Linked DNA regions of Saccharomyces cerevisiae S288C. The protein of the gene in region 1 interacts with the protein of each later gene in a biochemical or structural test. Each region holds a gene or a part of one and is shown on either strand. Other genes may lie near its edges.

What was found.
Region 2: the proteins of CMK1 (region 1) and PET122 form a complex in vitro, tested with the Saccharomyces cerevisiae proteins (2 studies listed by BioGRID, with this or other methods).

Annotation. Positions count from the first base shown.
Region 1 is NC_001138.5:171,711-175,634, forward strand, and holds CMK1 (calmodulin-dependent protein kinase CMK1), read right to left. Parts: upstream 2,168-3,924; coding exon 827-2,167; downstream 1-826. Other genes in the region: IOC3 (Ioc3p), read left to right, coding at 1-575; glycogen (starch) synthase GSY1, read right to left, coding at 2,555-3,924.
Region 2 is NC_001137.3:473,455-476,913, forward strand, and holds PET122 (Pet122p), read right to left. Parts: upstream 1,352-3,459; coding exon 587-1,351; downstream 1-586. Other genes in the region: YER152C (2-aminoadipate transaminase), read right to left, coding at 1-534; membrane insertase OXA1, read left to right, coding at 1,566-2,774; GTPase-activating protein BEM2, read right to left, coding at 2,891-3,459. UniProt on the Saccharomyces cerevisiae protein: Required for expression of the mitochondrial gene for cytochrome c oxidase subunit 3 (COX3). PET122 seems to work by directly interacting with the small ribosomal subunit to promote translation initiation on the COX3 mRNA.

The DNA.
Region 1 (3,924 bases):
TGAGTGCCCAATTCAAATTGTTTTACCATGACACACCATCGTTGGCGCATGATGTTGCACGAGGCAGAAATACATCGGGGAAGGTTTATTGGTATGAATTATGCCACGATTCAGCAACACTGCTGGAGTTCTTGGAGTTCTTGGACTATAAAATTGTTAAACCTCAAGATGAGAAAAAGGAGGGAAATGAAAAAGAAAAAGAAGCACTGAATAATGAAGCGCACATATTGGAGCAGAAATCTACCACTGATAATAATCCCTCCATAAATACAAACCCGCTACCAAAAGACGCAAAATATAACACTGCGAGAAAGAAGTTACAGATATTAAAGGAATTTTTATCTGATTACTATTTCATTCTTCGTCAGTTTGAACAAATGAAAGTGCAATTTGCAGACATGAAGCCAGGCAAGAGACAGTTGAGAAGGATACAGCGACAGACTGTAAACTATAATACGGAATATGATAGCGAGGAATATGTCGATGATGAAGAAGACGACGAAGCTGATATTTATGATGACAACGACAATGATTCTTCTTTTGATGATGGTAGAGTTAAAAGGCAGCGCACTTAGACAACTAGCTTTCAACGAACGTGAAGATTGTGAAACTCCTTACAGGCTGCATTTCGATTAATTAAGTAATGTAAAATTAAGACTATTAGTACATAATTAGATACGCGTATCTTTTCAACTAAGGCATAAAAAAAAAAGGTAGAAAGTGAGGACGAAAAAGTGCAAAATATCAAAGTCAAATCTTGCGCATATTCGAGCTTACAAAGTCATTGAAGATTTATTCGCCAGTGTGGTAAAACGGCATACTGTTATCATTCTTCTGTTTTGGTATCCTTCCCCTCTGGTTTCTCCTTCGCCTCATCCAAAGACTTTATATCACTCCCAGGAAGATCGCTATCAGAACTACAGACTCTGTTAATATTTAAAAATTTTTCCTTTTCGGCAAGCACTGTGTTAACTAATTGTGCAAAAGCTTTGCTGGTTAACTCGGACTTCAACTTAGACTGTTCTTCTTCTGATAGCTTCTTGGATAGTTGACTGGTATCCGTTGCTTTCAATGGAGGAACTGAACCGTTTGCTTGACTTCCTTCGTCAAAATCTGAATCACTCTCTGTCTGTTCAAGATACAGATCTCTTAATTTCTGGATCTTCATGTTTAATCTGACTCTCTCAACAGAATTACGGAACTTTTGACGAGCATCCAATCCTTCCTTTAACCCAGGCAATAAATTGTGCGTCTTCAATTCGGTACAAATAATCCATGGATCTTCCAAGAGTTCTGCGGCGGTCGGTCTCTTTGAAGGATCCAAATTAAGAGCCTTCAAGATGAATTGTTTTGCTTTATTGGAAACGGAATCCCAATAAGGCCTATGAAACTTCACTGGATACTCACCAGTTGTGCATTCGTCAAGGAAATCTTGAACCCTTTCGGCTCTAAACGCCGAATAACCGCAAAGCAAAGTATACGTAATGACACCTATCGACCAAATGTCGCAAGGTTTACCATGACCGTCCTGAGTAAGTACCTCTGGAGCCACGTAACCCAGTGAGCCTGCCGGCTTATAGAGGAGTTCCTCATCACTTTTCAATCTCTTTGCGATACCAAAATCAGCAACTACCAGTGGAGATTCGTCACTTTTATCTATATACAGTAAATTTTCCGGTTTCAAGTCCCTATGAACAATATTCTGAGAATGCATATATTTGACTGCGCTCAATATTTCAACCAAAATTCTCACTGCATCTTCCTCAGTGAACTTACCCTTCTTCAAAATCCTATCGAACAATTCACCCCCTTTGGCTAATTGCGTGATAATGTAGAACTTGTCTTTTGATTCAAACCAATCCTTAAATGCCACTATATTTGGATGATGCAGTCTTTGTAAAATGTCTAACTCGTCGTATAAAGCCTCTAGCTGAACCTTGTTTCCCTTTAGTGCTTTCTTGATCAGGATTTTAACGGCCACGTCCTCCCCTGTTTCAGTGTTTTTGGCTTGTCTCACCACACCAAATGTACCAGCACCTAATGTCTTCCCAAAAACATATTTTTTTTTATTCACGTACGAAGCAGGCTGCACATGTGCCATTTTACCTTCAGAATCCTCCTCTGTTTGTTTTGGGGAGCTCTCCTTTTCTGAAACTTTGTCGTCCATAGTAATTGACTCGTTATTTTTTCTGGTGTCTTCCAATATTATATAATTGTGAGTTCTCTACGAGAATTGAAACCATTTATACTCTGGCTTGTAGTCGATGTGGCTTTCGTTCTTTTTATCCCCTGCGTAGGTAGCTCGGCTGCACCATTCTAAACGCGGGGGGAGTTTCTTTTTTTTTTTTTTTCAGCCTTTTCTTCGTAAGCAAAGTATCCCACGTAAAAGGTTCCTTATACTAACACATATGTACTGTAAAGGTAAAATTACTTCTATTTTTTCTACTGCTATTATTTCTATGTACTTATACAAGAATAACAGAACGTGCAATACTAAAATTAATTTGATGCTCAGCTAAAAGAGTAAGATATGTTAGCAGAAGTTAAGATGGTTTTAATTATCCTCGTAGTATGCAGACGTATCGTTGTCATCATCGTCATTGTCGATGGCTCCATTCGTGCTCAAATTAAAATAGTCATCTGCATTATTAGCATCTTGAAGGGTACCTAAATCGCCCGGAGTCATGTAAACAGTACTATTGGACCTTACTTTGGGGGATCCGGGTACACTCAAAGGCCTGGCAATCTTGAATTTCTTGCCACCGGCAAGAGTATTCATATTGGCGTCACTAATTGTTTCACCCACCAGTTGCTTGAACTGCTCTGGATAGGCCCTACGAAGACCCAACTGTCTAGCCTTAACGTATTCCAACCCCATTCTCTTCCAATCTAACAAGTCTGATAGTCTTTCGGTTCTGTTTCTTTGGTTGATTCTTTGTCTTCTGGTCTTGTTTACAAACTCTTCCATGTAGTCTGCTAATTGCTCGACAGATTCATCAGGGCTCTTGAAACGACGGTCTACAATATAAATACCATAGTCTTTCGCTTGGTCTGTTTCAATCAAGTCTTCCATGTAGGCACCGAACCCAGAAACGTTTGTTGTGATAGATGGGACACCCATGACGGTACATTCTGCTGGCGTGTACCCCCATGGTTCGTAATAGGATGGAAAAACACCCAAGTGACAGCCGCGAACAAACTCGTCATAATCCAAACCAAGGATAGGGTTATTGGCGTTTAAGAATTCAGGATGGAAAATCACTTTTACACGATCACTCGAATCATTGAATAATCTAACATGTCTAATTTGGTTTAAAATTGGATCGTTAGCATCATCGCACATGTTATGTGTGACTACCGGAGGCAATTCCCCGTAAGGTCTTCTCAGCGCCAATACCCTTTTCTTCAGCAAAACCTTTTCAGAACTCTTCAACAGCTCATCTAAATTAGTGGGCAACTCTGATTCTAGGCCATTATGAGGGTATCTCATCGTATGCTCGAAAATTCTCTTCCCAATGGATGCGGTGACCTCATTAACAGTATTTTCCAAAGATTTTACAATGGCTTGGCTTTTCAGTGCCTCCACAGTGAAGGAATTGGTTTTGGCAGGCATGATCAAAAACGCTACCACCGTCTTCTTGGATCCAGAAACCTTCAATCTGTAATTGAGACGAGCCAATGATTCAATGAACATGTCAGCACCTTTGTTTTTGTATTCATATCTACCAGCGATAAAGAAATAAACTGTGTTGTCTAGATCGAAATCAAAACAACCATGGAAATGGCCTCTGACGAAATCATTAATTTTGTCCTTTTTCAGGGCATGCAGATTTTGAAATTCATGTACTGCTTGAAACTTAACAACGTTCAAACCATTGGGCAAAATGCCATCCGGTTTCCTCTTCAACAAATGCTCCGCTTCTA
Region 2 (3,459 bases), on another chromosome or scaffold:
CTTTGGCCCCTGAATCATCTCTGTGGTACTATGGGGCTGCGGCTCCGCCTCGTGCTGCTCAAGGGCAGAAATCAACGACTCGAAATCAATCGAGTCGTGGCCCTGCTCGTTGATGGCGGTCATTTTCCCCTTGAATCCCGCATCTGTGAAGCAATTGTTGATCAAGAAATATGTTGGCGTGATGATGAACGCCTGCCTGGTATACCCGTTATGTGGCAAGGTTGTTTGCAGAAGGATGTTCAGCATGCCATACGAAGCGCCGCTATTCAGATTCAAATAGTCTGCCCGTGTCCTGCTCCGAGCCCCATTTTCGAACTTAAACAGCTGATCATTCAGAAACGTACAAATCTGCTCTCGCACCCACAGGGCACCTTCGTCCGAACCGTACGTCAGCGGATGCCTGTTATAGGGGTCGTTATCGTACTCCCTGGTCTCGGGCCCCAATATAGCCGCAGTCGCTTGAATTACTGCTTCTCGAGGCAGCAACCTCGAGCTCGGATGGCCCTTGAAGAAATTGATTTCCTTGTATTTCATTACCGCTTGCTAGCACGCGTTGTTCCTTGTTACAGCGATGCTCCACCCAGATTTATGTGTTGATTTCAAATCCTCTTCTCTTTATCACTAGTTCGGCATCCAGCAGCGGCAGCCCGCGATAACTTTGACGGAACTCCGCCAGCACACGTCGCGCCTGCGCTGGGCCGGGAACATGCCAAAGGACACCAGCCAGTAGTAGCGGTAGTGACCATTCGTTCTTTATCACTAGGGGCTGTCGTCCAAACAACGCCAGGGCAGCTGCTTGCTCATCTTGCTGCATCAATGCTATGCCCATAGCCTTGGTCATTTGCGGGAAGTCGCGCAGCCTTAATGGCGGCTGCCCTGGTAGCGTATCCATCTCCTGCAAGAATACCTTCCACTTTTCCCTGAGCGCCGTGGAGTGCATTGTGCCACGCGCAAACGCTTCGACTTTAATCCGTCTAAGCTCATACTCAATCAGTTCATCTTCTGGGCTGGTGCGACGATCGCGATTCATCGCCTGGTAGTGCTGGAGGAACTGCGCGGGTAAGAAGAGCCTGTCCTGGTACAATGCTACGCCAGCCATTTCACATAGCAGGCGGCCCTCTACTGGCAACCGGCGTGGCATCACATGCTGATACCACATGTATGCTATAGTGTCGGCATGGGCAAGCGCAGCGGCTCGCGCTAGCATCGTGTGCAGCAGCTCCACATCCACGCTGGTCTGCTGCTGCTGACGCAGCAGCGCCAGTGCATCGGACATTTTCCCGTTTAAACTGCTTAACAGTATTCGCGACCGCACATCGGTGGTCACCAGTCTTTTCGTGATAGTCAACATGACGTGTTCCGTTCTTATGTTCGAGCTAATGCCTCGTCTGCTCTTCCACGTTCAGATGTTCCCTTGATTGCTCAAAACACTCTCAGCAGGCCGAGATTTCGATTTTAGCCAGCAGTACGGAAGTAATCCGAGCCATGAAAAATTTAACCAGTGGCTCGCCCTCTATACGTATCTGTTCACGTACAAGCGGAGCCACAGAATAACCTCCCCGACGATGTTCAAACTCACCTCTCGACTCGTCACGTCAAGGTTTGCTGCCTCTTCCAGACTGGCCACCGCTCGAACCATAGTATTGCCCCGGCCCCATCCGTCATGGATCTCTTTTCAGGCCAAAAGATTTAATTCGACGGGCCCAAATGCCAACGATGTCTCGGAAATCCAAACCCAGTTGCCTTCCATCGATGAATTAACCTCTTCAGCTCCTTCTCTTTCCGCTTCTACTTCGGACCTTATCGCTAACACGACCCAAACAGTGGGCGAGTTGTCCTCCCATATAGGGTACTTAAATAGCATTGGCCTGGCCCAAACCTGGTACTGGCCCTCGGACATTATCCAACACGTCTTGGAGGCCGTTCATGTTTACTCTGGGTTGCCTTGGTGGGGAACTATCGCGGCCACCACCATCCTCATTCGATGCCTGATGTTTCCCCTCTATGTCAAGTCCTCTGATACTGTTGCTAGAAATTCCCATATCAAGCCCGAGCTGGACGCCTTGAATAATAAGCTAATGTCCACTACAGATTTGCAACAAGGTCAGCTAGTCGCCATGCAAAGGAAAAAACTGCTCTCCTCGCACGGCATTAAGAACAGATGGCTGGCCGCACCCATGCTACAAATTCCAATCGCCCTTGGGTTTTTCAACGCATTGAGACACATGGCTAACTACCCAGTAGATGGGTTCGCTAATCAAGGTGTCGCTTGGTTTACAGACTTGACTCAAGCAGACCCTTACTTAGGTTTGCAAGTAATCACTGCCGCTGTGTTCATCTCATTTACAAGGCTGGGGGGTGAGACTGGTGCTCAACAATTCAGTTCTCCCATGAAGCGTCTTTTCACTATTCTACCGATCATTTCTATACCGGCCACAATGAACTTATCGTCCGCTGTGGTCCTCTACTTTGCCTTTAATGGTGCCTTCTCCGTCCTACAGACAATGATTTTGAGAAACAAATGGGTTCGTTCGAAACTGAAGATAACAGAAGTAGCTAAACCAAGGACTCCTATCGCTGGCGCTTCCCCCACAGAGAACATGGGCATCTTCCAATCATTAAAACATAACATTCAAAAGGCAAGAGATCAGGCGGAAAGAAGGCAATTGATGCAAGATAATGAGAAGAAGTTACAAGAAAGCTTCAAGGAGAAGAGGCAGAATTCCAAAATCAAAATTGTTCACAAATCAAACTTCATTAATAACAAAAAATGAATAAAGGCTCTATATCTCTCTGTAAATATAAAAATATAAAACTCAAACCCTCGATAGGCGGGACCAAATTTTTTCTCTCTCAGCAGTGGATTGTATACATTTACCACGAAAATTGTTTATTGCTTGAAATAATCATTTGGATTCTTAATAAAATCTTGCAGGATTGTCTGAACTGCACCTAATCTGGACCCCATGCTGTTGGCTAAGTCTTCTTGGTTTATAAAACTCATGGAAAATACAATAGCCAAGTTTGATGCGTCCATTTTATTATTTACAACATGCTGATGTACTTTATTCAAATGAAATACAATTCTTTTCAAAGTTTGGTAATAGCATGTAGGTAACTTTTGGAGTAACTCATTCATCATTCTCTTGTATTCTTCATTTACCATTGCATGTGCTTTATACTTAATCGCCAAATCGGTAAAGTCGTTCACCATAGCATGAGAAAATAAAGAATCTGGTAACTCTCTTAAATACATCTTAAAACAGCCTGCGATCGCATTCACTTCAAACCATCTATCGTCCTCTAATGTAAAGGAATTATCTGTTGCACCTTCTTCGTCAAATGCGTTCTTTAGTGCATTTATACTGCCGATGGAACCAGGAATTCTGTACAATCCCACTTCATCTAGCCCACGCAGCTCAATCTCTTCCAGCAATTTCACAACAATTGTAGGTATCA